Linked DNA regions of Mus musculus: regions 1, 2 and 4 are each reported to be linked to region 3. The links are microRNA targets in miRTarBase. Many come from high-throughput screens and were not tested one by one. Region 3 holds a microRNA gene; each other region holds the end of a gene's coding sequence. Distances are between the middles of the regions.
The links. Region 3 holds the annotated microRNA mmu-miR-694 (CUGAAAAUGUUGCCUGAAG, at 4,204-4,222, shown strand). A microRNA usually pairs through its seed, bases 2 to 8, with sites in the 3' UTR of a target mRNA and lowers its output. Matches are read on the target gene's strand: a 7mer-m8 pairs with bases 2 to 8, a 7mer-A1 pairs with bases 2 to 7 and ends in A, and an 8mer does both.

Region 1 (8,306 bases), not on the chromosome of region 3:
CTTTCCAGAGAACTATAGTGATTAAGTTATAATCTTTAATTCAGAAAAACAAAACACTAACACTTTTATAGAAAAATGGCATATACTCAAATATTTATAGCTGTTTAGTAGCATTTTATAGATATGTATTCGGGTTCGTCTTCAATTTTAATTAAGGAAGGAGTGGGGCAGATGTGACTTCATTGTGGCACTCAGCTTATATTTGCTTGGCTTGTTCATAGTTGGTGACACCCTAATTCCTAGCATGATAAATAGTCCCCTTTGTGCTTGACATTGTTAACCTTGAGTTGTTTTGAGAAATATGTGCTTTTTTATTTAAATATAATTCAAGTAAGCTTGTGTATGGCTAAGTTCTCATTTTGTTTTGTTTTTGTTTTTGTCTTCTTAGGGAAAAAAAATCCTACAAAATGGCTATTAAATTTGTAGCCAGTAACATTGAGATTTTGTTAGTTTTTCTTTGAACGTGTACCTCTCGATTAGAGTACGTGGTTTCGTTGTTCTGTAGTGTCCTACTAAAATATTCATTTTTTTACAGTGTATTGCAAGTTCCACTGCATTACATGCAAATTCGATTCACTCATACCTAGCTGTTTGTGGATTCAAACTCATAAGTGAACCATTACTGTGGCGAAGTTCCTGGCGTCCTGACATCTCTCTGTGTTTTGTGCTGTTTACAGATCCGAGTGGTGAATGCATTTCGTAGTTCTTTATACGAAGGGTTAGAGAAGCCAGAATCAAGAAGTTCAATCCACAACTTTATGACACACCCTGAGTTTAGGATAGAAGATTCAGAGCCGCACATCCCCCTTATTGATGACACTGATGCTGAAGACGACGCCCCAACAAAACGCAACTCCAGCCCTCCGCCCTCTCCTAACAAAAATAACAATGCTGTTGACAGCGGAATTCACCTTACAATAGAAATGAACAAGTCTGCTACCTCTTCATCCCCAGGAAGCCCACTACATAGTTTGGAAACATCACTCTGATTGTAAGATGAATGGTAACACACTAGCTGCATTGTAAAGAAACAAATCGAAACTGAGTCTTTTCACATATTGTGACGGACAAGATAGTATTCTTGTCTCTGGACTTCAACAGAAGACACACTTGTACGAATGTAGATTTATTTTTTTAAAAAAAACAAAAGCAAAGCTTTCTGCCAGACTGAGGGTGCTTTTTTGGGGTGTGGGAGAAACGAACTGACAGATGAACAGCGGTGACTCGGCAGGAGTGGCCTGTGGGTCGTCAGTGGTACCTAACGTTGTCCTGACTAGCAGAGCTGTGGTTTATCTCAGTTCTTGATGGGAGGGAGGGAGGAGTGACGCTGGGTGAGACAGAGAGCCCTGGATCATTGAGTGAATACTTTAATTTCTGCTGTTGGCTGTTAATAATTTGGATTATTTATGTTTATAAATGATACAGATCTGTTTACAAGGTTTGTAGATACTTTTTTTGTTCTTCATAGACGGGAAGCTTCCTTATAGTAATGCAGAGAAAAATTAGTCCTTCAAATACTGCTGTATTTTCAGGAAAAAAAAGGGGGGGGTGTTTCTATTGAAACTGTACTAAATTTTTGCCTACAATTTATCTTGTTACATATGTAGATAAATTGCTAATACTAATAGCCAAATAGATAACACTAATGCTTTGTTTAAAAAACAAAAAAGAAAAAAGAAAACAAGACAAAAAAAAAAACAACAAAAACCATGAGCAGTGGTGTTCTAATGAAGTTATGGCATCTGTCCTAATTAGTTTCTTAAATACATTTACTACTTAATGGTTTTGAAAGAACTGTTTAATTTTTAAATTTTTTGAAAACTTGCTAATAACCTTTTGTTCAGAATTTAGTAGATTGTTTATTGCGGGACATCAAATACACAATGAAAGATGCTTGAAATGCCTTTGTTATTTCAGGCCAATCAAATTAAACTATCAAAGTACAAGAGAAACCTTTAGTCTTTTTTTTTTTTTGTTTTTGTCTAAATATGTTAGTTCAGTGATGTCTTAGTGAACTGTGAGTGACTGCATTGATTTTTCTAATAACTGCGTAGAGACCTTCACACAGCATAGAGGGGGCTGTTGGCATTTTGAGAAAGGTTAATAGAGAGAGGCATACATCGTTTCCTTTTGTTTTTGAAACTTGTTTGTAAACATAAATAAATATGCCCTTTTATTAAATAAATACACAGCAATGGTTCTTCAGACAGCTCAGCTCCTTGGTTCTCTACGTGTGCCGCATTGGCCTGTCTCCTCTAACCACAACTAGAATAAATTTCAAGCTGGTGGCAGCCTCAGGAAGGGCTGTTTGAATCCTTTCTTGGTCACCCCATGGAGTCGAGCTGAGACAGCAGTTTTGCCACCTAGCACACCCTTCATAGAATCTACTTTTATCTAAAGTAAAGTAGTCTCGCCATTTTATACGAAGTAATGACCACAGTTGTCTGATGTATTTGTTTTTTATTAAGTGTCCCAGTCACAGATTAGATTAAAGGGATGGCGCATGAAGATTTGAGGAAGCGGCTAAACACGATCTCTGTAATAACCAACTCTATGCCGAACTCTATGCTCATCTCTGAGACAATTGAATTTCCAGGCTCTCTGCTTCTTTTCTGTCTACCTTCTTCCTTTGTCTGCCTCTCGTCTTGACCTTTTAGAAAGTGGTATTGTTTCAGGGCGCAGATCTCGCCAGTTAAACAATCCTCAGGCTGACCTAAAGTTTACGAGGACTACTACATCCAAGAATGCTGACCTAGCAAAGAAACATCTAGTTGATGGTGCTTGATATATATATATATTTTTTTTTTGGGCGGGTGGGAGGAATCTTTTTCTCCCCATCAGTTGCCTGCAGTAACTCTCTGCAAGTCTTAGAAACACATCGGCTCTGTCCCATCGATCACTGTACATTTTTACTCATCAGGTGTTTGTAGTTATTCATACTGTAAAAAGAGGTAGCATGATATGCTGGGACGCATATTTAGACCAGGAGCCCAAGGTGGACTCCTCGTCTTGAATTTGCCATTAACGTGCTGCATGATCTTGGGGCAGTGACTCACCCTGACGGAGGGTGGGGGACTCCTCTTGAAGAACCCTTTCAACTCTAAGAATTGACCCTATCCACTGAAGAAGCCTGTGAGGCATAGGGAATAGAGAAAGGGAAATGTTCTCAGCTTTCTTTTTTATTTTGGTTATGCTTAAATATGAATGTAATTACCAAGAGAATGAGACCTGCATGTGCTCTGGAGGGTTTGTGTCTAGCTTTTCCGGTTTTTTTTTTTTTTTTCCAAAACTCAAGGCAATGGCTTTTTACCCCACCTCTAAATCCATAAGTGGGTCTTAGGACATCCGTGAAGTCATAATAGCAAAACACGCTCGGTGTGCGTTTCTCTCTTTGAGACACTGTAATTTCTACCAGAAATGTCCACAGCATTATGTAAGTAGGAAAAAAAAAAAAAAATACAAGCAAGCTGTTAAAGATCTTGGATCCCATTCTATAGTGTGTATACCTAAATCAACATCTGTAATTCACATTTTTCTCTTTTATTCTCTAACCAAAATCAGAAAGAAAAAAAAAACTTGTTTAATTTTGCATCCCAAATGTTTTTAATCTTTGTATATTTTTTAGACTCCCTTTTCTCCCCATCATTGCCTTTCCGTGGTTGTAAATAGTTGTCACACTCTGAGGATGAGTTACGTCTTGTCATCTTACAAATATGTGATATGGTAATTTTCATAACAGATTATCAGTTTTGAACCAAGAAAATGGTGATTTGTTTATAAGAGAAAAAAAAACAAAACAACAAAAAAAACCACCTGGCTTCATTTCTGTGAAATTGCTCTTTGAAACTTTCATTTCCACGTGTAAGCCAACTGGGATACTACCGTGATGGTGTTGATTTCTTTTAATGATGCTTACCATCTCTTTTAGCCACTGAGCCTTTTATTATTTGTCTATTTGTAAAGTTTATTTGTCTTAACTCATTTAATAAATATACTGTTTATCTGTTTCTGAATGGGGACTGAACTTTTTGACCCTTGGGATGATCTGAACACCATATTTTGGCATTCCTTTTTTCCTACCTGAGATTTTTGCTTTTAACCTACGTAATGCAGAGTCTATAAAATACTTGGAATGTTAGGATGGGTACGGGGACTCCGTGTTCTCATGCAGTTGCCTGGTTTCCCCTCTCTAAGGGAAGGGGGTGTAGTACCCCAGCTGCTAGAGTGTCAGCCCTCAGCCACAGCGTCCATTCTGCAGGCCAGGGAGGGCAGCGGTTTAGTTTAGTGTAGAACTTGTTAAGAACACTTTATTAAACAATCTGAACTTTTTAATAGCAATTGTCTTAACTCTGATGGAAAAATAATAGCAGTGAAACTTACACTTCAGTGGTTTCCATAGTCAATGATTGTCATAAATTCACAGACCAATGCCGAACCAGCAAGGTAATTCTGGATACCGTATTTTGATAGAATAAACTATTAAATGGTTGAATCATACAACAGGAAGGGTACTTTTCATCTTGTCAGATTGGGAACTTCTATATGTATTAACTGTCAAAATTGAGTTTTTAATATGTCCTATTTGTAAAGTTAAACTAAATAAGAAGCGGCACTTTCTTTAGCCTTTGTTTCTTGGCATTTTCCCTGCTTACCTTTAGAAACCTTGGTTTCTTGAACCTTTCAGTCACTAACCTGGGCTGCTCTCGAGCCCTGCCTGAAGTGCAGAGCACCATCCTTTTTCAATTATTCTTACACATATATGAGTATCTGTATTGCTAGACTCTTCTCTTGGTTAGGTGTCAATAAGAAAATTACTTTCATCCAAATAATTTATCAACAAAGTGGTAGCTTTTTCTTATAAACCCTTAATCCTATATACTTTTGCCATGAGAATGATTTCTTTTCCACTTTTCATATTTGTTCTTTAAAAAAAATTTTTTTTTAAATCTTATAGTCAGATACAGTACAAGCAGGCTGAGTCACTCTGTTTTCTCTGAGTTTGAATTGTCATTATTGAACAGTACATTCATGGCTCCAAAATAGGGGCTTATAGTTAATGTGTGTGTTTATACGGTGTTGGTGCCCGGCACAGTTTCCTTAAGCAACACTGCCCTATGAAAAAGCACTGTGCATTTCTGGATTTGGGTTCAGCTCAAAACTAAGCTTCTCTTAATTTAAATCAAAGGTTAAAGGTCATATAGTTTCCGGGGGTTCCCCCCCCACAATGTTAGCAATGGGGTTTTGGCCCATAAACTAGGAATTACGAAGTAATTTTCGGTATGCCAAACATTTTATATGGATTATGTCAATAATAACCCTGTGAACTTCCATTGTACTTATGGGAAAACTGAGGCTTAAAAAGCTTGGGAACACATGGTAGAAGTCAGCTTCACACTGAGACGGCATTGAAGAACCCCAGCTGCTAGCACTTAAGTCAAACAAGTATCCAAAAAAAAAAAAAAACAAAAAACCTCCAATGCATAAGCCTGGTGCTGCCATCCTTGCTGCTGCTCTTTTCTGATAACGGAGGCTTCCGAGATAACTTCTAAACAACAGCTCAAAGACTGAGGCAGAGTGGCACTGCCTAAGATGTAAGTAGCCCAAGCTCTCCTCACAGGTCAGAGGAAGCTAGGACAGAGACGTTCGTCACATACTTCAGTTAGAAGTTCTGAGCTGGGTGGTTTTGAAGTTCCATAGGTAGCATTAAAGGTCAGCACTTTTATTAATCATGTGGGATGAGAGTTTATCACTTTAATACGACGAGTACTCTTGTCTCTGTAAAGAAGAAAAACTGTAACTACAGAATGAATACACTACTTAGACACGCCTCACGCTTCTTTTGCTCTTCCTTATGTACCCTTTGAAATTTTCCTAGCTATATTTGAGATCCCATCTACCCCTCAACCCCCTTGAGTTTATTTTAGTGAGATATTTTGTGTAGCAACAGTATCTTCCTTGATAAAAACTCTTAATGCGTTAATATTCAGCTCACGCGACAGACACTTGCACATCAGATTTCAGTGAGTCAAGTCTAAGTGGGTCACAACCCTTTCTGATGGCCTCAGTCTTAGTATCATCTGCAGCCATGCAGTTTGTGAATGCTCCGTCCCTTTGGTTTGTAAAAACGAGACGCCGCTAGCTGACGTCCGTGGTCATTACGGTATCTTCATTGAGGTAAACTATACTAAAAGTCTTTCTCTCAATAAGACGCTTTGGAAATCACTAGTCTTTAGTCTGAGGCAGCATGTCTTAATGAATAGCTGGAGGGGGAGAAGAGGGAGAAGAAGTGGCCACTAAGACCTGAAGTGTGTGACATTCAAAATTCAGGTTCGGATCCTTTTCATAAGTCTGCTCCGAGGTGAACCCCCTGTGAGGCCAAGGGTCGCTGATGGTTTGTTTTCCTGCTGTAGAATTGAGGGAAGTAATTCTTCTCCATTTCTGAAGTGCAGTAGGGGCAAGGGCCGTCAAACAGTAGAGCCGATCTGATTCTAAGGTGTCGGATCCTGCCATGTCATCTTAGATCATTGTCTGGGCATTGGTCCCTGCCTTCCTTCCTGCTAAATGAGCTGCTAACTGCTTTGATGGGTTTGTTGTTCAAATCTCCTGCTCCGCTGGCATTCGCATTCAACAAATACTCGGTACCTATGAGGAGGAATTCCTGCCTCTCTGACCCTAAGAAACAGGATCAGATTGGGAGGTGCAGGGCAAGGGGGCTGGGTGGGTGAATCTGTATTCCATAGTGTGTTCACAGACACCCTCACAGGTGAGTAACTGGACCCGGGGAACCACCTGCTATGTTATCAGGAAGTACCTTTCATACAGGCTCTAGTAGGTTGGTGCTTGCCAAGTTAGAGGGCCAAAAGGGAATGCTCAGTGTAGCTGGAATGGGCTAGGCCAGTGGGAGAGTTTTCTACAAGCTTGAATAGAGCCAGGCAATGGTGGTGTGACCCTGTAATCCCAGCACTTGAAAGGCTGAAGCAGGCAGGTCTCTGTGAGTTCCGGGCCTGCCTAGATTACAGAGTGAGTTCCAGGCCAGCTAAAGGCTACACAGTGAAATCCTGTCTCAAAGGAGCGAACAAACGCTTGGATAGATAGATAGTGGGCAACCACTGAAGTTCAACCCTGGTGAGAACTAGGCTAATGAATAACATCCACTCTATTCAGTTTGGCCTTCTCTGTCTCTTTATCGTCCCCTTGGAAAGATCTGCATAGGCCCATTTTTCTTATTTTTGTTCATTCACACTTGCCCTCCCCATCCAGTTGGCACCAGGCTGGTTTATAAGCATCTCACGTCTTTTCCCATTTGCTTCATCCTGTGTGGATGTTTTCTCTTTGGATGACAGTGACTATTCTATTTGCTATTTTTCATTATGGAAACAAAAGATGGCCACTCTTAACTCTGAAGTCATAGGGTATCCTCCTAACTGCCTTTTTGGCTTCTTAAAAACACCCTTTGCACCTCTGGTCGTATTTATCTATGGCATGACCGCCATCTCTCATCTTTGCCTACTAACCTTTGTTGACTTCATCTTTGCCATGTAGTGGAGATGGCTCCCTCAGCCTATTCTGTCATTGACCTAGAGGCCTGGGAGGCTTTGCCACCTTGCTGAGCCTGAACTGCCTTCAACTTCATACCTCTTCCTAACTTTACGGTACACTCATAGTCTTGATAGAGATGGGAGTGCACTGGTCTCCTTGTTTCCTGACTGACACTCAAGCCAACCTTTTATTATCCTCAGGTCCATTCCCCATTGCATGTATTGCAAGTCTTTATATGTCCCGTCACGCCAGAATCCAAGCCCTCGTTTGCCTGACCAGGATCCATTCTGCGTTATTCTGTCTTAGCATTTTGCTGTCGGCCTCTGGTCTTCAAGTTTCAACAGACATCTGCTGCTCATTCTCACTGTGTTAGGCTTTAGTCCAAAGCAACATCTTTTAAATCTGTCTATATTAAACCATATTAAGGTTTGCAGCTCTGCTGAAACTACTGCTTTCCTGGGGCGGGGAGTGGGGGAGGCACAAGCGAGCAGGATCTACAAACAAGCCTGTGCCTGATTTAAAGATCTACCAAGCTGATGTTTAACCCAACCATTGATTAAAGACCACCTGGTTAAATACTCCATTATGTTACATGTCAGTAGCCATTGAGTCCAATAGTAGATAATGATTTATTGAAATGCTTTCTCTCGGCTGCTTTTCCTTTCACCTTTAGTTTCAAGTCTTTTGTCAATAGCCTCATTTTTGGTTATTATTACCCTAAATTCCTCCTATCTCGAGTCCATACAAGGTAGTTTCTTGGCTTTGTG
Region 2 (8,138 bases), not on the chromosome of region 3:
GCCTGGATTCAATCTACAGTGCTGGGTGAGTATAAGGGTGGGGTGAGCAAGGGGAAGAATTTTTAAAAATTGGCAAGGGAAATGAGAGAGAATTGCTCTGAGCAATGGGCAGGGTTTTCTGCAAGAGGAAGATGTTACTTTCTGTTCCCTAAGCTTCAACATTCATACTGAGTCACTCAGTCCCTGTATCTGCTTCCCTCTGGCCATGTGACAGAACCGAAAGAGCTTTCCAGGAAAGGTTGCCTGGGCATCAGGTTGCAGTGCACAAGTGGATAAATAATAGATCAGTTCAAATCTGTGCCTCTAAGGATCACTGCCAAGAGACCAGATCTTCACCTGCAGAAAAGCCTGAGCCCTGAGCTACTGAGTCAGGATGCTGCTAAGAGCTTTGCCCGTCTCTGGCACATCCTAGATTACAAACAACTCTACAGTCCTATTGCCCTTTTCTTAGTTATACACTGGCTTACCTCTTACACCTTCTCTTACCGAACTGGCCTCAAGTCTTCCAGGTGATTTCCTCATTCCTATTATCTCCAAACCAGTCTAGCCTCTTCTATTTTTTTTTTTTTTTTTTTTTTTTTTTTGTTGTTTTTGTTTTTCAAGACAGGGTTTCTCTGTGTAGCCCTGGCTGTCCTGGAACTCACTTTGTAGACCAGGCTGGCCTCGAACTCAGAAATCCGCCTGCCTCTGCCTCCCAAGTGCTGGGATTAAAGGCGTGCACCACCACGGCCAGCCCCATTCATTCATTATTTTATTTATTCAGTGCCTGGCCTGTACTTGTCCCTAAACTGTGCTAGGAACAGAGAGAGCCTTAAAGCACCTTCACTATTTATGTAGGCCTGGAAGATGGCTCAGCAGATCAAGGCAATTTGCAGAGCCTAAAGAACTGAGTCCCATAACTAGAACCCACATGGTAAGAGAACCAACTCCTAAAGGCTGCCTTGGGTTACTGTGGCATGTGTGCACACTCAAAAATATATGTAGTTTTAAAAATAAACAAACAAAAAATACTATTTTTAAAAAAAGTTTATGGAGGACATTATGAGAACATAGACATGAGCAGTAAGACAGACTGGAGCTAGAAATGGAAGAATCAGCAAACACTCCACGGGTCCCTATTGGGATAAAAGATGGAAGGACTAACCAATTAAGGGGACAGAAACAATATTTCAGAGAGTAGTCTCACCTTGGAACAGCCGTACTTATGTATGGAAGGGAAGGCTGACCGTGTAAGCCAGGAGCTGCCGACAAGCATGCTGTTGTATTTGATTCTTTACTAGTGTGTTGACTCAGTGTTAAGTGTCTTTGTGTAAGCCAGGCATGGTAGTGCAGACCTGTAATCTCAGAACCTAAGAGGCTGAGGCAAAGTCATCAGTGTGAGCCCAGCCAGGGCTATATAGCAAAACCTGGTTTTAGAAAATTGTGTTTATAAATAAACTAAGTTTAAATGAGCCAGGAAATGAGGCCAGAGGCCTATGTGGGATTACACTGTATCAAAGACAAACATTGTTCAGCTAAACACTAAACATCTTTCATTCAGAATGGCTACATAATGTGATCAGGCAGAGGCAAGTGGTCCAAGTCTGTAATTCCAGCAGGAGGAGACCTCATCTAAAAATAATCTAAGAGGGCCTCTTAGGCAACTGACAAAGGTAAGGCCTGTGGGAACTTGGGTGGAGAAGAACTTTGCATTAACGTGTCATAAACAAAACCATCCTGAATTATTATTTCTATAAACATTTGTAGCCTGCATTTTAATGCAGCAGGACTATGGCAGAGTGGTTAAGGGAATATGCCACAGAAATTTGTAGCCATATCTTCCAGCTGTAACTACTGCTGCCGTGCTGTGTCATCAGGACGAGTACCTTGGTCTAGTCCCTCCGCTTGGGAGACATGGGCAATGAGGCTCCGTCCAAGGTTCACATCCTATGCTGGCATCATCATGTGTCATACTGGGACTGATGACACTCACTCAGTTCTGATAAGACAGTCTACAGCACACATTCAGACTAAACTATCTGCAAAACAATTCTAGCCTTCCCCGTATGAAGGATGCCAAAGGACGCAGTCATGGCTTCTAGAGGTCTGAATAAGACCTCATGTGAGGTTTCATCTGTGATTATGTCCCCATCTCCACCCCAATGTCATTGGAAGCAGACAAACTGCCTACTTTAAAGCTTTCTTTCTGGCTAGGTGTGGTGGTAAACACTGTACCCTCAGCACTTGGGAAATAGAAGCAGATGATTCGCTCCAGATCATCTTTAGCTACACAAGGGATTCCAAGCCAGCCTGAGCTACATGCCAAAAATCACAAACAAATCATCTTGTTGGGTATTAAAAGGATTTGATATGCAGAGAATTCTATTTGACTAGTTGTAAGCCTCCACATTCTCTTTAGATTATAACTTTATTTATCTAAGTAGTATCTTCTTCTGACATGCTAACACAGAGCTCTGTAGTCTCCCAAACCCCTTAGGTATATCAGCACAAATTTTGTTCCATGTTTTAATTTTAGTGCTGATTGAAGGTTGCAAGTCAGATGACCAGACAGTGCACTTTAAGTAAATCTATTTTTATGGCCACACAAAAGCTAGGACTGAAAGGGAGACACTAGCAGCAGAAAGACCAAACAGCTGCTTCCTCACCCAGGAAGAGAAGACACATCGATCCTAGCACCCTCACCTGAGGCAACTAGATCCTCAGAATCTAGAGCAATGAGTAGCACACGGGCAGGAAGTCAGGGAGAGCTGGCTCAAAGCTGGGCGCAACTATATAAGTCAGGATGACCTCGGAGAGAATGTAATATTCAATTTCTGAATCTCTTTTGTTTGTTTTCTCTGTACACGTAGGTCTGCCTGCCTTGGATTTCTAAGCTCCTTAAGCAATAGCTCTCTGGGCTCTACTCACACAAAACACCTGGGGAGGTCTCCTGAAGCATTTCTCCCTAGAAGGCACAGGAACCCAGCCAAGTAAGTCATCCGAGTGCAAGCTGCGGGGAACAGGAGGTGCTGTCCCAAGCAGTAAAATGACGGTGACTGTTAGTGTGAAGAATGGAGAAATGCCACATGGGCCATTCTGTGAGTAAATGTGAAACACTGAACTTAAAAAAGGGGGTCAAAAGGTTGGCTTACGGTTTATCTTTAAGGCCAGGTATGGTAGGGCACACCTTTAGTCTCAGCATGTGAAAGGTGGAGCAACTAGATCTCTGAGTTCCAGGCCAGGCAGGGCCACATAAGGAGACTGTGACCAATCTACAACACTCTCCTATATCTACTCAGGGTTACTTATAACTTTACTCACCCGTCCTAGTGTCCTACCCTGTGAGAAGTGATGGAGTCAATTTGGTACATTCAGTTCCAGAGGACATAAGACGACAAACAATCCATTATGTTTATAAGGTATGAAAACCCGCCCCAGCTTTTTCCATTGGAATCTAAACTATGATAAAAGAAACAGACATCAGTAAGTTTGCAGTGAAATGTTGACTTTTATATTAAATGAGCACTGGACAGAATGGATTCTAGTCAGGAAGCCTTTGCCAAAGCATAGTCACAAGCTCCCTTGGGGAGGTTCAGTCAGCCTGCTGCAGTGGTCCCGGAGAGGAAGCTCACTGGCAAGCCCCCACTCATTGTTCCCACACAAGCTGCTCAGAGTCAGGAGCTGGCTGTGCTCCCCTTTCCTAAGTTTCTAGTTTCTTCATCACTGTAATAAATAGAAAACTGGCAATATTCACACACCTTAGCACAGACAGGTTTCAGACACAGCATACAACTGTTAAGTGATTAAATTGAAAATGCAAACAGAAATTGGGACTTTTTAAAACAATGAATTATAATTCTTTAAAGAACTGGCCATGAGCTAGCTAGTCAAGACTTATTTTGCTGGGTGAGGTTTTTGACAGAAGTATCAGGATTGGATAGAAGTCCTCAACAATCCTAGCAGACCTGACATGGTGGCCAGAGCACTGCCAATGGTAATCTACAATGCCAGGGCATCTCCAACCTGCTACAGTAGAGACATGGCGCAGAAGGACCGAGTTCAAGGGCATCCACAGCTCATGGTAAGACAGACTGTACTACACTGAGACCCTGTCTCAAGAGAAGAAAAATGTTGGGAAAGGAACAGAATAAGTCAAGCATGGTGAAATAGGCCTGTAATTCCAGTACTGGAGAGACAGAGACAGGAGGATCACCAAAGTTCAAGGACAGCCAGGGTACTGTAGACTCTGCCTAAGAACATCACCACCCCACCTACCAAAAAACCAAAACAAAGCAGTGTCTCTGCTGGCTGCCAGGCCCTTAGCCAATGGCAAAGTAGTTCTGTTCACGTCTTTAAAAACACACAAAGACTAACCAGTTTGTCACTGAAGCAATCTGGGATGTCAACCAAAGAAAAACTGACCAACAATTTTAACAATTTTACCCCTAAACCAGCACAAATAAACCTGGCAAGAAATGACAGTGGACTCCATATCTGCATGTTAGCAATAGGACAGAGTTTTATTTAAAAGGCTAGTGGTTCAAATACTATTGCTTGAAGAGCTCTGGTAGGTATAAAACGTAGTAACATCTGAGGTTTATACACATATGCAGGAGCTGACGGCCAGCTCACAGGACTAGTTCATCCTTGGTCAAGAGAAACTACAAGGGCATGCTACGGGAGTGACCGAATGGATTCACTTGGACCATACTCCCACTCTCCGAGGAACACACAAACACCTGGGTAAAAAATGCTCTTTTTACACACAAAATTCTGGCTTAATTAACTCTCCTTCCTAAAATGATAGCTCGGTTCAGAAAACAATCTGTCTTGAAAAACTCAAGAACTTGGACTACTAAAAAAATAAAAGGGAATTTTACTGTAGTAAACAATTTTAGTAAACACCGTGTATATTTTCCTGTTGCTAATGAAGACATGATACATTCATAACACTATGCCTTAAATTCCTACACAGATGCTCACCAGGAAAAAACCACCTCAACTTCTATCTTTCTCAGTCAGGTGCAGGTCTCAGCACAAACCAACAATAGCTCCTCTACCAGCCCTGATGGCTGCTCTGAAGGCAGAACATAAAAACCTAGATCATAGCTACCGAATGTAACCATTAAGCAAAATCTTTGCAGAGCACATTTAATGAATTACTTCAATCCCCAACCTGGTCCAGTTAAAATGTTTGTAGATCCAGTTTATACGGGTCCATAGGCATATTGGATGACCAATAATCTATTGTTCTCTCAAGTGGCAGTTTGTATAGCTCAAGCAAACCAGTAGGAATGTAAAGAGCTCTCTTAAAATCTTGATAAAGACATTAAATTATATGAGGAACCTTAAAAGATCAATGAGCTACCTCCATGGTAATACATGCATGCCTTTACTGTCAGTCTTCAGGAGTCCAGAGGCAGGCAGATCTCTGTGAGTTCAACACTAGCCTGGCCTACAATGTAAATTCCAGGCTAGGCAGAGCTACACTATGAGACCCTGTCTCAAAGACCAAAACAGGAACTTAGTTTACCTTTATTAAAATGGTAGAATAAAGATAGCAAAGCTAAAGCAGGTGTGGTGGCGCACGCCTTTAATTCCAGCGCTTGGGAGGCAGAGACAAGTGATCTCTAAATTGAAGGCCAGCCTGATTTACAGAGCTTCAGGCCAGTCAGGACTATACAGAGAAACCCTGTCTTGAAAAACAAAAACAAAAAAGGAAAAAAAATGATAAGGATAGTACATCTATTGTGAGAGCAGCTTCCCTGTTTCCCATGGAAAAAAAACTTTTTTTTTGCTGACAGAATTTAAGAATTAAAAAAAACAAGCAAGCAAGCAAACAGTGGCAGAGTACTTGCTTAGTATGTGCTAGGTCCTGGGTTTGATTCCAGTACTGTAAAATAGATCTATTTATATATAATATATATAAAACGAAAACAAACATATACACCTTAAGATAATATAAAACTTGAAAATAACATCAGGCATTATGGAATGGGAAACAATTCTGACCACCCCTACACCCAAAACAAAGAAAAACAACAGGTTGGGGGGGGAGGGGATGACAAGCAGAACTCTGGATGATGAACATTACACAGACCCTACATCACAGAACACCACACAGAATGAGTTATCCATCAGTAAGACCGTCCTGACGGCAGTGCATGTCCTAGATCAAAAATGAGTTAAAAGTTTGTAATGTAAATAACCCACCTGTGAGGAGATGAGGGGGAGGCAGAGGGAAGGCTGCATGCACGGGTCTATTACAGACATGATAATCAGCAGCAATAAAAACAATATCCCACAGTCCCTAGACCTTGTTTTCACTGCTTAAGATTGAGAGGAACAAACTCACTTGTAACTATAGCATCTCCCATATTGGAGTGACAAGCATGTTTAATCTGATGCTATGTGTTAATAAAAATACTGAGGATACATGAATCAAACAAAACAACACAACATACTAACTTATGAACCTTAAAACTGGACCAAAAATAAGTTTAAAGCCAAGTAGATGTGATAATTATCACACATGACATAATCCATAGAAAAAAGGGCCAAGAAAAGAATCTTCATATTGTACTCTTGCTTGATGTTGTCCTAGGGAAAAGTGATAATTCTACAAATGTGTCATAAACAACTAAAAAGTCCCCTTCTGGTTTCAAATGAATCTTCCTTGGCTAATTTTTCTCCTCTCAAACAAAACCTTTATATACAGGACCAATTTAAATCCCTCCTCCCCTTCAAACATACAAGCATCCAGGAACATTGTACAATGCAAAGTGCCTTAAGAAAGGATTCTGTAGTGCCAGTGGTCTAACTGATCTGAGGAAGCGGGATGCTGTAACACTGATGGGCCAGTCAAGCAATGGTGGTCTGCTTCTCCTCCGGTGTTTCCTCCAGCAACTGCATGATCAGTTCATGGAGGGGTTTGCAGATCTTTGCATAGCCCCCTCCTGTGAGATGAAGAAAATCAAACATGTCGTGGCAGGAGATGGCACCGTCCGAGTGCACGAAGCCCCCGTCTATATCAAGGAGCTGCACATTGGCAAGCTTCGGCAGGGAAACCTTGAGAAGCTGGTTCACCTTGGCATTCTTTTGTCTTAAAGGGTTGGGCTTCTCACCTCGAGGTAACAGACCCTGGGGCAGAGCATAGAAGAGCATTAACAGAAAGGGTTACTTGGTTTTCTTTACTTACTTATGACTTGAGCTTCCCAATTCCACTGAACTTCTACCTGCAGACCAATGCTCCTGGGGTCTCGTCAGCCTGTTCTAAAGCAGTGCATCACCTTCTCTTGTCCACAGTTATGTCAACTGTCATTCCAACATCCCAGGTCTCTCATCTCACACTTCATAGTTATTACAGGATGACTAAATATTTATATTCTAAATATTTCTCTAATCAACTTTTGTTTTCTGAAACGAGGTCTCATGAATCCTAGGCTGGTCTCACACTCACTAGATGCTAAGGATTATAGATATGTATCATCACATCTGGTTTCTATGGTACTGAGGGTGGAACCCAGGGCTTCACTGCATGCCAAGCAAGCACTATATCAACTGAGCCACATCCACAGCCTTCATCATCTTCTTCACCATGGTAACACAAAGTCTGGTCAGGAACTTATTGCCATTCATCCCAAAACCAGTATGTCCTCTTTCAATTCTTTCTCCATATGCCTTGTCAGAAGAATGTAGCTTAGATACACCTATCAATGCCAGAGAAATTACACTATAATACATTACAAGAAAGAGAACTGGAGACATTGGTATGGCACATGCCTATAATCCCAGCACTCCAGAGGCAGCAAACTCTTATATGTTCAAGGACAGACTGATCTACAGAGCTAGTTCCAGGACAGCCAAGACTACACAGAGAAACTGTCTCACAGTATAAAAAAAGAGAGAGAGAGTGAAGTGGAATCACAGCTGCAAAGCTGTCTTAATGAAACACATGAATTAAATAAATTACTCACCTGGTAAGATAAATTAATTTATCCTAAATTAATTTTAACTGGTAGATTAACAATCTAATACAATTTTCAGATAAATAAGATGGCTGTCTTTCTACTATGGTAAAGAGAAGTATCAGCTGGGCGTGGTGGTACACGCCTTTAATCCCAGCACTTGGGAGGCAGAGGCAGGCAGATTTCTGAATT
Region 3 (8,306 bases):
TTGCTCTAACAGTATGGGAAGGCGGGTACTTCTGCTCTGCCTCCAGCTCCCTCACCTCCCCCTAACTTTCTCGTCCCTCTTTCCTCTCCCCCTTCCCTGCTACCCTCCTTCCCTGAGTCCTCAGCCTCCCAGTATTGCTTTTCCTGTTGCTTGCTTTGACAGCCTAGAGAGAACTTGATTTTGGCTCACAATTTAAGGAGGAATATAGGCCTTTATGGCAGGCAGGCAGGCACGGTGTCGGGGGAGGGCGCTCAGTGAGCAGAGAGCAGACAGGAAGTGGGCTGGTTACAAAAGCCTTACCTGGTGACTCACTTCCTCCAGTAAAACTCCTACCTCTTGAAGGAACAACAATCGCCAAACAGCGCCACCGGCTGGTAACTGAGTGTTTAAACACATGAGCCTCCCTTCACATTTGAACCACACTGAGTCCCTTCCCCCTCCGTGGCTCCCTCTCATGGTGAGGTTTATGGTGATGAGGATCAGGTCTGTAGACCTGCTGACCAGGTAGGGATGTCTGGCTTGCTGCTGTAATCTCCGTACCTGTGCATTAAAAGAATGGAGGGCCCTTCCCTTGAGTGACTAGGCCATGAAGCGTCTGCGAAAATAACTCCCGTCAAAGGTGAGGTTAGATAAATTCAACTGGGGCGATTTAAGGTCTCCTTTCCTTGTGAAAGTAAAGGGAGTTAAAAAAAAAATCTATGGCTTTAAAAACAAATCTAAAATTCATTTGGCACCATAAACCAGTGAGCATATGAAAGAAAATTCCAAATGAGAATTATGGTATGTAGATAGCCTGACCAGATAATAAAAAATTATAGCACTAGAATCACTTTTTCATTGTGTTGGCCCGAAGCACTTAAGAGGGACAGGATAAATTAGAGGAGGAACTTGAGGTCTGAGACGTCATTACGTGAGAAGGCAGGTGTCAGGGTTCTTTATGGAGCTTAGAGCAACTGGCTTTCAATTTGACAAGAGAGTCAGCACTCCTCCTCTCTGGGTAGTGCAGAGTTAGGAGTTGAGAAGAAGTCACATTTAGGATCTAGGTGCATATAAAATTAATGACACAGCCACCGTGATCTTGGAATTATTTCTTACTTTGCATTAATATTTTTAGGCTAATAAGAGAAAAGATTAATTTCTACATTTGATCTTAGCCAAAGGGCTGAGAAGCGATAGCTGAATTTCTAAATGCTTAAAAAAATCAGTATAAAACCTTAGCAGATGATCTGTAGTTATCGTTTTAAGAGTCCCCATAGAACACTGTACAGTTAATCATATGTCATATGATTCAAAGGGTAACAAATGCCTCTCCTTTATTCTCGCCATCATTATATACATAATTGTAAATTACAATTACACTGTGTAACTGTAATTGTGTAAAGTTTCTCTGTCTGGCCATCTACAATCTCAGCACTCAGGAGGCGGAGGCAGGAGGATCGTGAGTTCAAGGACAGCCAGGGCAGTATAGAGACTTAGTCTCAAAAAAAAAAAAAAAAGTAATCTGGAGTCTGGATATGTGGGAGACACACACTAATGAATCCTGAGAGCTTTGTTTAACCCATGCAGCAGAGACTCATCCACCTTTTAATGGCCTCCATGTTTAGTTTCAAAGACAGACTTCCGTGAGGAAAGTGTCTTGGATGTATGTAGCTGAAGGTTACCCTGCTAGTTTATTGCGAGCCATTTCTCTGGCTACAAGTCAAGATTTTATATCCCTAAGTTGCACACAAAGCGCCACAGATAGTTTTCTTTCATTGAAAATAGATTTTTCTCATGCAGTATGTTCTGATTATGGCTTTCCTTCTCTCTGCTTCTCTCCCCTCTTCCCTCTTTCTGTCTCTAGTTAGAAAACAAACAGGCTTCAGGGGATGATAATAATAAAATAATATGATAACATAAAAGAAAATCAAACAAATCAGAATAGGACAAAACAAACAAGCAGAAGGGAAAAAAGGTTCAAGAGGGCACAAGAGAGAGAGAGAGAGAGACAGAGAGACAGAGAGACAGAGAGACAGAGAGACAGAGAGAGATGCAGAGACCCACTTGTTTGCACATTCAGGAATCCCATTAAACAGGAAGATATATATGTATGTATATATGTGTATATATGTATAAAAGTTCTGTAGGGTAAAAAAATAAATAAGAAAAAAGCCTCCCATCTGGCATTATGAGAGTTGGAAACTCCAAAGCTGTACGTTTGAGTTCGTTTACTGTTAAGCGTCCGCTATCCATGAGAGAAGCTCGTTTCCCAAGAGCCTCCCTGAGAGAAAACCTAAATTCTCATTTACGAGTGGTTATCATTCGGAGGTATTTTCAGGGTTAGGGATGGTCATGGGTCTACTTCTCTTTTCAGCTTTAGTACCCCATCCGATGTGGATATGGAAGGACTGTGCGCCCTGTCTCAGTCTCTGAGTTGGTCCTGATGCACTTAAAAGACCGTGATTTACTGGTGTCCTCCATCCCTCCTGGTCTTCTATTCTTTCTGCCTCCTCATCCACAGGGTTCCCTGAACCCCGAGGGGAGGGATTTGATGGGGACAATCCAATTAGGAGGGAACATTCTAATCTCTCTCACTCCCTGCATACTGTCTGGCTGCGGGTCTCTCTTTGTTCCCATCTACAGCAGGAAGAAACATCTCTGTTGACAACTGAGCAAGACACTGATCTATGAATATAGCAGAATGCTGTTAGGACATTTTGTTGCTATGTTCCTATAGTGAACAGTAGTATTTTGTTTACCCCTAGGTCCCTGGGCTATCTAGTCTCCGGTTCTTGGGCACTTGAGCAGTGTCATGTATGGGTTCTATCACCTGGAATGAGCCTGGAGTCAAGTCAGATATTGTTAACATACTCCTGTAATCTTTGTGCCAGCGTTTCCCTACTGTATTTTGCAGGAAGGACATCATTGTGGGTCAAAGGGTCTGTAGTTGGGTTGGCATTCACACTTCTTTAGTAGTATGCAAAGTACCTGCTGGTACCAAGAATGGGAGGTCTTTCCATCTTCTGATACCGTAGTCAGTTTCCTACTTCAGGGTCTTAAAGTTTTTATCATCCAAGTCTTTCACTTACTTGGTTAGAATTACCCTCAAGATATTTTATATTTTTTGAGGCTATTGGGAAGGATGCTGTTCCTGATTTCTTTCTCAATCTGTTTGTCATTTGTGTATAGGAAAACAACTAACTTTGTGAGTTAATTTTGTATCTTGCTACTTTGCTAAGAGTGTTTATTAGCTATAGGAGTTTCCTGGTGGAAGTTTTAGTGTCACTGATAATGTAATATTCTATCATCTACAAATAAATATGTACTATATATTTAATTAGAATATATATTCATTTATATACTATTATATCATCTACAAATAAATATATACTATATATTTAATTATAATATATATTCATTTATATACTATTATATCATCTATAAATAATTATATACTATATATTTGGTTAGAATATATATTTATTTACTTATATACTATTAATATTAACTTCTTCTATTCTAATTTTTATCCCCCTAATCTCATCTTCAGTAGTTTTCTTGCTGTGGCTCAGACTTACAAGTACTATATTGAATATGTATGGGGAGAGTGAACGACGCTGTTTTCTTTCTGATTTTAGTAGAATTGCTTTGAGTTTCTCTCTGTTTAAGTTGGTGTTGTCTATGGGCTTGCTGCAAACTGCTTTTCTTATGTTCAGGTATATCCTGTGTCTCCCTGACCTCTCCAGGACGTTTACCATGAAGGCAAAACAACATAAAATTCACACGTAGTATAAGACATTTGACTCTAGTATTGAATTAGGTACAATTAGATCACCCCTTAGCGCTTCTGGATTTTTAAACTAGTTTTAAAAGATAAAATAGATTCTCGATTCATACTCTCGAATCTTTGTTTCAAAGAAGAGGCATAACTTACCAGTTAGTTTCCAGCATGTCTGATAATTCTACATAGTATGTGAGCTGCATGGTGAGCCTTGTATTCTGCTCGCCTGAGCTCACATCAGTTCAGAGGAGTCTGCAGGTGATGAGCACAAGTCTGACCCCAGGAATCTCCAAGTTAGGGTAATTGGTGTGAAAAGTGTTTCTGTGCATTCAGATGGAGAAACCTGAAAATTACAGCTGTTGTAAGGTAAGAGCTCCCGGCGGCAAAGCTGCCAACTGGGAGTCAAAGGCCAGCTCAGGCATCGCTTTCAACCCAAGACCAGGCTGAAAATGTTGCCTGAAGCAGTCTCTGCCTTCTGCTTTCATCACAAATACCCGACCCCCACTGCACCCCCTGCCCTGTGACCTGCTCCTGGCCAGACAAAGGCCAGCGGTAGCTCCCCAGTTGGAAATTGCATTCTCTCTCCATTTCAGTGCAATTGTGGGGCTCACATTTCCTGTCCTGGTTCTCTGAAGATGGCCTTTGGGTTAAGAAGGGAGTTTGAAGATAATGGCTTAGTCATGGGCTGGGCTTGTGGTCTCGGAAAGGTACCATGCTCAAAGCTGGTCTGCTGAGCAAAGAAACCCAGGCTAGACTGTGTGAGCATTTCCAATTTCCACTTGTCATCAAAGGAGCTAACCAATGCTCTACATTCTGCTGGAATGGGGGCGATATGCTTCATGCACCTAAGCCAACTTGGAATAGTTCTACCCCTCCCCCACCCCACCACCCCACCACCCCACCCCCAGTTCATGTGAGCCGTGATCCTGTCATGATTTGTACTGGCTTTAGTCAACCTTGTCATGTTGGAGTGGTGCAACAGTCCCCTACTTAAGCAGCTTAGTCTAATCTTTGGGAGGATTTTTTTTTTAAAGAATGATTTATTTATTTTTATTTTATGTATATTAGTATTTTGTGTGGTATGTGTGAGAATGTCAGATCCCCTGGAATCAGAGTTGTGATCTGCCATGTGGAAGCTGGGCATTGAATACTTGCCCTCTGGAAGAGCAGCCAGTGCTCTTAACCACTGAGCAATCTCTTCAGCCCCGGAAAGTTTCTGTTTTGTTTTTGCTTTTTTTTTTTTTTTTTTTTAATTGACAGCTGATACTTGGGCCCCAGCCCTAAAGAGTCAGATGAAATTGGTCTGGAGTAAAACATGAGAAACTCAATTTGTACTATCAAGGTTGGGGACCAGGGACTTCACAGCACCCTGTGAGACACACGTGATTATCAGTAGAATCCTTCCCACTTCACAGCTGAGAAAGCCAAAGCCTGGGGTGATCAGCAGACTTGCTCAGCATGGACATGATCAGTTAGTGGCATAGCTTGCCTGTGCAGATTCATTCTGGTGAGTGTTTATCACAGAGTGGGCATTATGGGAAATTCTTTGAATATTATATTAGGGGTCAATTTCTGGGGACTGTAACACATGCTTAGTCCTGGAAACGATCCCCCTCCTTAGAGAATCTCTTCTCTGTACCCAGATTTCTGGGGCTGTACGGAGTAAGTGGGCTTTGGAGCCAGGACTGAAGGGGTGGCCTTGGCCTTGAGCCCTGGACTTTTACCAGAGACGTGTCTAGCTGGGATGGCACTGCCTCCCTCCAGCCTGGAGACCTGCTTCCTTCCTGGGGAGGCGCATTCTCTGAGAAGAAAGGAAAGAGGCAGATTCTGAGTGTCCTGCTCTTCCTAGCTGCTCTTGAAGTTGATCCAACTTTCTGCATAGTTTAGATATCACGACTTAACATGACCTGTCTTACCTCAGTTTGTATCAGCCCTTTTTGGGGAGGGTCTCGTAAATCACGTGCCCTCTATTTTGCAAATCCTCCTCTGGCTCCCCCTTTTCATTTTCTCTTTGTGTTTTGACAACTTTTCTCTTAAAACAAATGTCTCCCCAAGTTGTCATCTCTTGGTCTCTTTCTCGGTTTTTTTTTTTTTCACCCAGGACTAAATGTTCTCACTTGTAACATCGCAGCAGCCTGGCTTGTTGGATCAAGCTGTCCACCCTCGGCACCTCTCTAGGGAGCCTTTACTCTCTCCCACTGGTCTTTAGCACATTGATTTAGGGGAGTGGTGGGAGGTGGGGAGAACTCTGGAACAAGCACCAGATGGGTGGAGGCCTGCGCGTGCTTCATAGGATCTGTGACTTGTTGGCAAAGCTGCCTTGCTTTGGCTTCTAGGGTGCTCGTAGATATTTCTCTGGCTACCTGCATGGTGATGGAGTGTGTACAAGATTTCTTTTGCAACTTACGTTGAGTGGAAGTCTCCTTGCTAAGTATCCCCTTTTATCCCTATACGTTTGCTTGCTATTTATCTTACAGTTACCTTTCCTCTTCTGCAAATATCAAACCCCCTACTTTGTACAGAGTTTCTGCTGTGAAGGAACACAAAACAGCTCCTTCAAGGATCTAGAGTTCTGACATTGATGGGGGTCTTTGGGAGGCAGGCATTTTATTTAACACCTGATTTCTACCATGAAAACTTGATATATTTAATGGAATTAAAGGAGACATTGAAAAAGTATCTTCTAAGTGTTGTACAGAGAAAGAAGAAAATAGTTTCTGGCCCGCTGCTCACTACTAATCTAGGAGACGTGAACTTGCAGTAGGGTGTAATGGCGGTGCATATGGGAAATGAAGAGGTTATCTTTTGTTCTGAGAGCTGCTCAGGAGAGGTTGGACACAGCAGAAGGCACTGGAAATGATCTTGGTATGATGAGTGGAATGTGAATGGACAGAGAAAGGAACTGAAGGTGGTATCCCAAGCAGGAATAAGCTCTGTGCTAGGAAACAAAACAGACTGTTGGATTCTGGCTTGGAATGAACTAGAAGTAAAGTCTTGAGAAGGGGGTCACTGAAACATGCTTTGCAGGCCATCGGGAGCTGTCATTTAAGTCATAGTGACTGATGCCATCTGAGATGTGGGTTTGCTTGTAAAAATAGTGGGCACACTGGAGGGACTGGCCAGGATGCCCAGCCACAGAGTCCAATCAAGCCATAAGCTTGGACTCCCAAGGATACAGTAGGAGGACGAGGGAAAGGTGTGAGAACTGGACAGAGGTATGGCATGCACATAACTGAATATATGAAGAGACAAAGGAAGGAGTGGACATCTCCGGGACATCTGCCTTAAACATCTAGATGCACCTTTCACTGAAAACTAGAATGTACTATGTAGAATGTTAAGAAGGTGCCAGGGAGTTCAGTAAGCTGAGACTTGGACATGTTCTTCTTCATGTCCTAATGCTAATTTTTATTTTATGTGTGAAGGTGTTTTGCATGCATGTGGGCATGTATGCATGTCTGTGTCTCGTGTGTGTGTGTGTGTGTGTGTGTGTGTGTGTGTGAGTGTGTGTGTGAGTGTGTGTATGTGTGTGTGTGTGTGTGTGTGTGTGTGTGTGAGTGTGTATGTGTGTGTGTGTGTGTGTGTGTGTGTGTGTGTGAGTATGTGTGTGTGTGTATGTGTGTGAGTGTGTGTATGTGTGTGTGTGTGTGTGTATGTGTGTGTGTGAGTGTGTGTGTGTATGTGTGTGAGTGTGTGTGTGTGTGTGTGTGTGTGTGTGTGTGAGTGTGTGTGTGAGTGTGTGTATGTGTGTGTGTGTGTGTGTGTGTGTGTGTGTGTGAGTGTGTGTATGTGTGTGTGTGTGTGTGTGTGTGTGTGTGTGTGTGTGTGTGTGTGTGTGTAGGTATAGTACTGGAGGCCAAAGGAGGACATGAATTACCTGGAACTGGAGTTACACAGTTATAGGTCAGTCTATGGGTGCTGAGAATCAAACCCGGGTCCTCTGAAAGAGTAGTCAGTGCTTTCAACCACTGAGCCACCTCTCCAGCATCATTCTAAAATAACCTGAGATGCATGGAGGTGGCTAATATCACCATGTCGTGCAGCAAGTTAACAGAAGCCAGGAGGTCAGTGTCTGCAGCTCAGCTTTAGAACTGTGACCAATGGGGCAAAGCCTGGAAGAGAAATGGGCTAGCGACCCCAGAAATGACAGCCATACCCTAAGGTGAAGGGCTGTTAGTGGCAGATCTTGAAATTCAGATTTCTCAGACTAAGAGGTGGGCAGCAAGCTGGAGGTGAGTGCAGGGATGCACTTATAAGCGTGCATCTGGATGAATTAACTTAAGACCGTGACAGGAATCTGAGTGAAACTGGCCCAGATGCTGGCAAATGTTCAGATGCAGCCAGTTGAAAGGGATCCTCCCAAATGAGCTGGGATTGGCCACTCAAATTGTTCGGGAAGACATCTATCTCTAATGGGCAACTGCTTTAAATTTGAAATGGGACTAAATTTAAAAGGTAAATGGAGCACCGCTCTTGGTTGTTGAAGATTCATCTATGTGCATTTGTATTCAAATATCAGTGCTCCTTAAAAGTCATATAAACTGCT
Region 4 (8,306 bases), 54 Mb from region 3:
TTTGCTTTAAATGAGTAATAGAAGACTCCCAGCACTCAGGAGGCAGAGACAGGCAGATCTTTGAGTTTTAGGGCAGCATGAGTCTACATGGTGTGTTCCCTGGCAGGGGTCTAAGAAGAAAGGATGGGTCATAACACATTCTCGCTTAGCTTTAGTTCTCCAGTCTGAAGAATGAGGAAGTTGACTGAGGAACACTCTGGGTGATGTCGCAACAGGAACTCACAGAACCCACCTGCCCTTGGCTGAAGGTAGAAAGCTAGAAGTAGCCACAAACAGAGATAGTCCTTCATCGTAGTACTGAGCTGCGGGAACAAAGGCAGAAAGCCAGATCCTTCAGAGATCTCGTATTACCTCAGGATTGGGCAAAAGCTAAAACGTAAAAGCAACAGCTGGCTGTGGTGGCACACATTTAATCCTAGAGGTGGATGGAGCTCTGTGAGCTTGAGGCCAGCCTGATCTACATAGAGAGTTGCAGGCCATCCAGGTCTACATAGAGAAAGGATGTCATTTAAGAAAGACATTTCCCCAGTGTTTTACCCACACTGCAGAGAGTAGTTAGCGTCTATTCTGAAATTCTCATGTGAACCTTGAGCTTGGCCAAGCTCTGGGGGAGCCTAAGAGCAGGCAGGAAGTGCAGAGAGCTGTGGCTCAGTCAGGTGGGATGGACACTGTGGCGGGGAGCTTTATGGAGGACATCACAAAACTGATGAGATTCTAGTATTGACCTTGGTAATATCATCAAGTGAAAGCAAATTATGCTCTTGCCTCTCTCTTGCCTCTTGCTCCCCCTCTCTTCCTGTTCCCTTTTCCCCTTTCTCTGCCTCTGCTATCTTCTTAACCACCTCCCTACCCCCATTCCCTAAATAAATCTATTTTATACTGAAAAGCAAAGAAAAGCAAACATGTATATGTGCACATCTGTCACATGCAAACAGAGTATGGGGAGAGGAAGGTGAGAGAGATTCTGATTCAAGGCCAGCATCATTAACCAGAGGTTAGAGAGGAAAAATGCCACTTTGGTCAGATATGTTCCTAAGAAGCCAAAATTTGACGAAGGGTTCCATGCTTGGTCTGTAGATAGAAGCTTTGGAGAAGATGAATGAAGATCACATTCAGAAGAACGGGAGGAAAGCAGCCTCGTTTCTGAAAGATGATGGAAGCCCACCTGTGCTGTCTGCCGACTAGTACAGCGGTGACGGACGGCAGCTGCCATAGCCAGCGAGTGGAGGTGACCTGACATACCAAAGCAGGAGTGGACAGTGCTGCTTCTGGGCTTCTCACTTGTGACCCACGTGCCAGATGTGTGCAATTTTTAACTCGGCATTGAAAGAATAAAATGTCACTACCTCTCATCTTACAAAAAGGATAATATAATTCTTTAACAGGTATAGATGTGTAGCCACAGGAGTCTGGATTTTATACAACTCATGATCTGAAGTGTCTAGATGAGGATTTTCACATAGGCAGTGTTTCCAAATGTGGGAGGTGGGGACTGAGGTGTTTGCAGGGGAGGCTCGATGGCTGCGCTCTGCTCCATTCCGCTCGCCTCCTGCTTTCCCTTGCGTCTTTGGGTGGATGTTGCTGTTTTAAATTAGCCCTTCCTAGCTGTTTGACCGTGAGCGTGGAGACCCCAGTGGGTACTAGAAATGGGCACTTGGCCTCAGTGGATGGTGGAAATGGACATAAGCATTTTATTGGTACACCGTAGATGTGTGGAATTCTACATTTCCGTCTCATAGCCAGGAGAGGTGACAGGTTTCTGAAAGATAAATATAAAAGGATTTCTTAACTACATTTTAAAACTTAACTTTCAGGTTTTCTTCATTAGGTTAAATGGTTGGTTATTTACATTTATAATGAGAATACAAAGTATCTGGAAGGGCAGAAGGTAAGAATGGGATCTGCTACATTTTAAGAAGGCAGTGAAACATTTCCGTTTACGTTTCCCCAAATTGTTCACATATTGATTGCTAATCATTTGGAGAGAACTAGAACAAAGTAAGTGGAGCTGTTCAGTAAGTGGAAGACACAGCCTGAACAGCTCAAGTACTGAATTGACCGGCTAACTCGGCTGTGGGCCTCTGCCAGCGTCACACTGGCTGGACTCGGCCTGAGAAGGTGAGCCTTGTTCTGAAGACCAGTGCTTGCTTGCTCTCACCTCATTACCCCAGTTCCGGGAGTTACATTGGATCCACTAACCAGCTTCACTTTCTGTCTGGTTATAAAGAGTAAATGTAATTTATAGTTGAAAAATTTTAACATTATTTTAAATTGCCAAATATGTTCTTTCTCGACTATTTATTTTTGTTTCTGTTCTACTGCTTTAATTGCATTTCAGAGGAGTGAATTTAGGTGGCTCATCCCACTTATGTTTGCTGCTCCACACAAAGATTTAAATGATGAGAAATTATTGGCTGGACACAAATTGCAGAAAAGTCATTAGAAACAATCATTTAAAACTTTGTTTGCTTTCTTCACATATTCTTTCTCAAACCATTGCTTGGAGTGTGCTATGAACTTGCCTTTCAAGAAATTAAAAATGAAGAGATCATTTTAGAATTGGTTCATTGTGTGGTTAATTCTTTGTCCTTATTTTAATGTCCTGGCACCAAGACACCCTTTCTATAGCAAAGTAAGCAGTGCAGTTTTGGTTTGTTTGTTTTGTTTGTTTGTTTGTTTGTTTGTTTGTTTTTCAAGGCAGGGTTTCTCTGTGTAGCCCTGGCTGCCCTGGAACTCACTTTGTAGACCAGGCTGGCCTCGAACTCAGAAATCCGCCTGCCTCTGCCTCCCGAGTGCTGGGATTAAAGGCGTGTGCCACTACGCCCAGCAGCAGTGCAGTTTTAAACACACACACACACAACTTTTGTTTTGAGTTTTACAGGTATCCCCCCCGAAACCCCTTTGTGAAGTCAGGACATTTTTCACATAGCTGGAGATACTAGTTTGATAAATAATCCAGTAAAGTATGTATATAATAGGAATACTTTGTCTTATTTTATTATTGACTGTAAAGATGTATGTATGTATGTATGTATGTATGTATGTTACCGAGCTGGAGAGATGACAGCAGTTAAGAGCACTGACTGCTCTTCCAGAGGTCCTGAGTCCAATTCCCAGCAACTACATGGTGGCTCACAAGCATCTGTAATAGGCTCTGATGCCCTCTTCTGGTGTGTCTGCAGACAGCTACAGTGTACTCACATAAAATAAGTAAATAAATCCTTTAAAAAAAATGTTACCAATGCAAGGGTGATTGGAGAGAATTTCTGTTTCTATAAGATAATTCATTACTAGTTTCCATGATATAAGAATGAGATGCCAGTATTTAGGAGGTAGAGGCAGACAGATCTCTGTAAGTTTGAGGCCAGCCTAGTATATATAATGAATTCCAGGTCAGCCAAGGGTATGTAGACTGTCTCCAAAACAATTACAGCAACAAAAAGTTGAAAGTTAAAACTCTGGATTATGCTTGCACACACCTTTAATCCTGGTAGAGGCATGGAGTGAGGCAGGAGGATTACTACAAGTTTGAGGCCAGCCTCAGATTCTGCCTAAAAAAAAAAAAACAAAATGGATGGACAAAGCAGACTGAAAAAATCAGGCAGCTGATGGGGAGATGTTAAGTAAGGCTGACTCCCTTAGAAGATAGAAACTGTAGTAGTTTGGATGTGACACCCCCCCACCCCGACATCCCAGGCATGCTTGCATGCTTGGTCCCCAATTGGTGGGACTGTTTGGGAAGGATTAGGAGGTGTGGCCATGTTGGAGAAGGTGTGTCACTAGAGGTAGGCTTGGCAGACTGACCATCAGAAGGGAATCCTGCCTGCACATTAAAGTCCCAAGCATTGGTAACACTTGAGAAATACTGGAGATGTCATTCATCTGATTATAGTTTCAAGCCTGAGTTTATGGAGGTATATATTTTTCTATTCGACTTTTGTAGGATCTACATTAAAATTTACTAAGTATTCGAGGTTTGGGGCTGATGAGATGGCTCAGTTGTTAAAGGCTCTTGCCACCAAGTTCATGATCTGAGTTTGATCTCTAGTAGGATTCACCTGGCAGAGTGAGAAAAGACTTTCATGAGAAACAAATTGGCCAGATGGATTAGTCATCCAAAGGCTGACTGGGACTGAAGAGTCTACTTTCAAAGTGGTCTCATTTATCTATGGGAGAGAAAGTTTCACCCATGCTGTCTCAGAGTGATGGGACTCGACATGAACAGGAGGAAAGTACAGCTATTTATTGAATACATACTTTACACAGCACAGAGACTGAAGTTAAACTCTGGATTGTCCTTGCACATACCTTTAATCCTGGCAGATTTTCTCTGAAAACGAAAGATATTCTGAGTTGTTGGACAAAGGCCACTGTGGTGATCTAGAGCAGAATGGCCCGCAAAGGCTCAAGTTTGAATATTCGGCCCACAGTCTGGGAAGGATTAGGTGGTGTGGCCTTGGAGGAGGTGTGCCACTGTGGGTTGGCTTGGGGCTGGGTGTAAAGCTCTCAGCTACTGCTCCAGCATCATGCCTCTGCTTCCTGCCATGATGATCATGGACTAATCCTCTAAGCAAGCTCCCAATTAAATGGTTCCTCTTCTGCGTTGCCTAGGTCATTGTCTCTTTACAGTAACCAAGACAGCCATTGAGTCTGTGAGGAAAAGGAGATTAGGCAAGAAGTTCAGTCATGGCCACATGACTAGGAAGAGAAAGGGTAGTTCAACAGATTTCTTTCAGCTGTGGTTCAGGAAGGATGCCCTCTCCCCCATGCTGGGGGTTCATCTCTCTTTTAGGAAGGTTGCAAGTGTTTCTTGCAGCTGTTGTTAAGCAGCTTTCTCAGAACGCCAGGATAGGTGGTGAAAGACCCACAACGTGAGGACTCCCCCACGTTCTGACTCAGGAGAGGCGACACCCCAAAATCACCCACAAGAAACGGGTCTTGCTGCAAATTGCAAGAGGATTTTTATTTAAGAGCGCTCTCGGGCCCATGGTCATACACCACGCAGGGGTAGAGGACCGTGGCGCTCCGAGTAGCTGGATAAGGGGGTATTTAAAGGAAGAAACCGAAACTCAAGGAAGTGGGGAGGGCGTTGTTGGAAGATACCAAAGATACCAGTTAAGAGTCACAAGGAAGTGTAAAGTTACAAGAGTCACAAGGAATACCTGGTAATTGTTAACTCTCAAGACAGCTTCTAAGAGCCCCTAACAATAGCACATTTGCATTGCAGGTTCTGGGTGACTTTCTTTGAATGAGCACTCTTTGAACCCAGGAAACGGGTGGGTAGAGGAATGTCGCTATCTCTTTTATGATTAGCATACCTTTACAAAGGCCACATTCCCAAGCCTGGGCCTAAAGGCCTAGAATTCTGTTTTTACATTGTTATACTTTCAGTGGCATATTTGAGAGTGGCATGCTTTGTGCCCTTTGAGTTGATGGCTGGATCAGCTGAGAGCTACCTGCCAGCTATGGGCAGGAGGCTCAGTCTTTGGAAGGAATGTGAGAAGCTACACTCATAGTCTCAACCACATGACTGCCCAAACGTGAGCTGAACAGACACAATAGATGTGTTGACATGGACCGGGCAGATGCTTTATCACTGATGAAGTTCCCAGAAAGAGGCTGCACCTTCCACTGTCCCCATCCAGTTAGTGACAACCGATGAACTGGATGGAATGTCTGTGACTGTGCAGAGGTCACGATGCTGCAGACCCAGAGCCTACTTAAACAGCCCATCTTTAGCCCCCTAAGTAGCCATTCCTCACCACTTCAGGGTCAGACCTAGCATCCTGTGACTGACATAACTCCTTTTGGAATGTACTGCTTCAACAAAACCTTACCTTCTACCAAAACCTAAGGATGGCATCAGCTAGCATCTGAGGCTCATAGAAGGGGTGTCTTCTCTGTCCCTTTAATCTATCTACCTACCTAATGTTTCCACCAGTGTATTTTTAAAGTGTCTTAATTCATGATTTTCTTTTGTTATCGATACAAAACTGCAATGAGACTGATTGCACATTAGTACATGAATCTGAGGTAGGCTACTACAAGAGCCGGTCGAACTCCTTCTCCCTGTTTCCCACCTATCATCCAAAAATGCGGAGGAATATCAACTTAGTGTTATTTTCACATTGTTCAGTCAAACTTAGCCTGAGTTCCAACGCCCTACTTAAAATTCAACTAAAAAGTTACCTACCAAGTACTAATTAGCATTATAAAGTCAGAGTCTGCAGCTCCAGGCCTTTCAGTTAGTTGTTTACTAGAAAGGACAGTCTTAAGCCAGATACAGTTTACCATAAGAAAAGTTAAAGAATCCCAGTGAAGCAAGTTTTTTCTTTAGCCCTAGATTCCAGGCAGAACTATTGAGCATAGATAATTTTTCCCCCCTCAGGCCAGCTTTTTCTTTTTTTTAAATTTTGTTAATAAAAGGGAGGAGATGTAGTCTCCCCTCCCCCAGCCTGAAACCTGCTTGCTCGGGGTGGAGCTTCCTGCTCATTCGTTCTGCCACGCCCACTGCTGGAACCTGAGGAGCCACACACGTGCACCTTTCTACTGGACCCGAGATTATTCGGCGGGAATCGGGTCCCCTCCCCCTTCCTTCATAACTAGTGTCCCAACAATAAAATTTGAGCTTTGATCAAAATAAATTTGTCTTAGCTCCGTTTCTTCTTTCGCCCCGTCTAGATTCCTCTCTTACAGCTCGAGTAGCCTTCTCAGTCAAACCGTTCATGTTGCGGAGCTGCTATCGGCCGCAACAGGCTACAACTGTGTTCCTGGGCCATGCTTACCCCTTTGGTTCCAGAGGAAACTGTCTCATCCCTTTGAAGTTAAGAGTTTTCATCTTTTTTAAATGAATGTCACTTACACTCTGGAATTGCATTTTATCATGTACTATACTGTTGGTTCATGGGTCAGCCTTGTGCAACTTAGAAGTCCCTGCTCCCCAGGACTGCCAAGGTCATAAGTCTCAGAAAGTACAGAAAGCCTTGGATGCTGGCTACCCTGGTAACTGTGATAATGCAGCTACCACTCCTTCATTCTCCTCATCCTGATCTGTCTTTCCAGAGGATTTATTCCTTTTAAATCCATTGTCCTCATATGTTAACACGCACACATTACCTGGCATGAGGCAGTTGTTACCCAATATATTCATTGCTATTTCCAGCATCATGATAGTACTTGACATACTCAACTATACTGCAGATGCATGAAGGCTTGATTATAACTGTGTGACTCAAAGGCTTTTACAAAAAGGAAATGCACCAGGGGAGATATGACAGAGAATCAACTTTTGTTCTTACTAACTGTCCCAGAAGAGAAAACAAGAGCACAACGTGAGTTCTCTGTAAATATAGGGGCTGGAGGGCTTTCAGGTGAGTTTGTTATAGACAAGCACAAAAGGTTGTCTTTGTGGACATTTTGACTTCCTTTACCTTCATCCTGTCAAGAGGCTCTGCTGGGTTCAAAAATTACTTTTCTTTTTTACAAAGGTTTAATGTTATTATTTTTATTTATGTGTTTGCCACAATTAGTGCAGAAGCCAGAGGCAGCTGACCCCCTACGGCTATATTTACAAGCAGCTGTGAGTCACCCAGTATAGGTGCTGGGACTTGAACTGGGTTCCTCAAAAGAGCAAGTACCCTTCTGTTGCTTTGACCCCCAGGAATTAATTTAGCATACAGTAGCTGAATAGGAAGAAGGCATACAAATTTATATGTGTTTTACATGGCACAGGAGTGTGAAAGGAAATGAAGTCCCTAAAAGGCAATTAAGAATTTGTTACTGGGCTTGACAGATGGCTCAGTGATTGAGAGGTGCCGAGTTCAAAAAGCTAGAGAGATGGCTAAGTGGTTAAGAACACTGGCTGCTCTTCCAGAGGCCCAGAGTTCAATTCCCAGCACCCTCATGATGCTCACAACCATCTGTAATGGGAGCTGATGTTCTCTTATGGCATGCATGTTGGTATACATGCAGGTAGAGCATATATGTAAAATATATTAAGTTTTTTTTAAAAAGATTTATTTATTTTATGTATGTGAGTACACTGTAGCTGCTCAGATGGTTGTGAGCCTCCATGTGCTTGTGGAATTGAATTCAGGACTTCTGCTTGCTCTAGGCGGCTCCACTTGCTCCGGCCCAAAGATTTCATTATTATAAATAAATAAGTACACTGTTGCTGTCTTCAGACACACCAGAAGAGGGTGTCAGATCTCATTACGGGTGGTTGTGAGCCACCATGTGGTTGCTGGGATTTGAACTCAGGACCTTCAGAAGAGCAGTCAGTGCTCTTAACTGCTGAGCCATCTCGC

Region 1: the mRNA of Atp2b1 is a reported target of mmu-miR-694. Seed matches in the 3' UTR shown: 7mer-m8 at 1,525-1,531 and 7mer-m8 at 3,727-3,733.
Region 2: miRTarBase lists Pafah1b2 as a target of mmu-miR-694. Seed matches in the 3' UTR shown: 8mer at 5,948-5,955, 7mer-A1 at 5,677-5,683, 7mer-A1 at 4,810-4,816 and 8mer at 3,788-3,795.
Region 4: miRTarBase lists Riok3 as a target of mmu-miR-694. Seed matches in the 3' UTR shown: 7mer-m8 at 1,452-1,458 and 7mer-A1 at 2,690-2,696.

What each region holds. Positions count from the first base shown.
Region 1 is chr10:99,022,131-99,030,436 of GRCm38, forward strand. Atp2b1 (ATPase, Ca++ transporting, plasma membrane 1) reads left to right here. Exons shown (of 21, transcript NM_026482.2): 21 at 678-4,013. The coding sequence ends at 989. Among named protein-coding and RNA genes, the nearest start is that of Poc1b, 81 kb to the right of the region's middle.
Region 2 is chr9:45,961,848-45,969,985 of GRCm38, forward strand. Pafah1b2 (platelet-activating factor acetylhydrolase, isoform 1b, subunit 2) reads right to left here. Exons shown (of 6, transcript NM_008775.3): 6 at 3,464-7,119. The coding sequence ends at 6,841. Among named protein-coding and RNA genes, the nearest start is that of Sidt2, 11 kb to the left of the region's middle.
Region 3 is chr18:66,215,192-66,223,497 of GRCm38, reverse strand. Mir694 (microRNA 694) reads left to right here and starts at 4,165; the gene lies at 4,165-4,234. The region is part of intron 2 of Ccbe1 (collagen and calcium binding EGF domains 1); the gene reads left to right.
Region 4 is chr18:12,154,143-12,162,448 of GRCm38, forward strand. It overlaps Riok3 (RIO kinase 3), which reads left to right. Exons shown (of 13, transcript NM_024182.4): 13 at 1,078-3,225. The coding sequence ends at 1,185. Among named protein-coding and RNA genes, the nearest start is that of Rmc1, 10 kb to the right of the region's middle.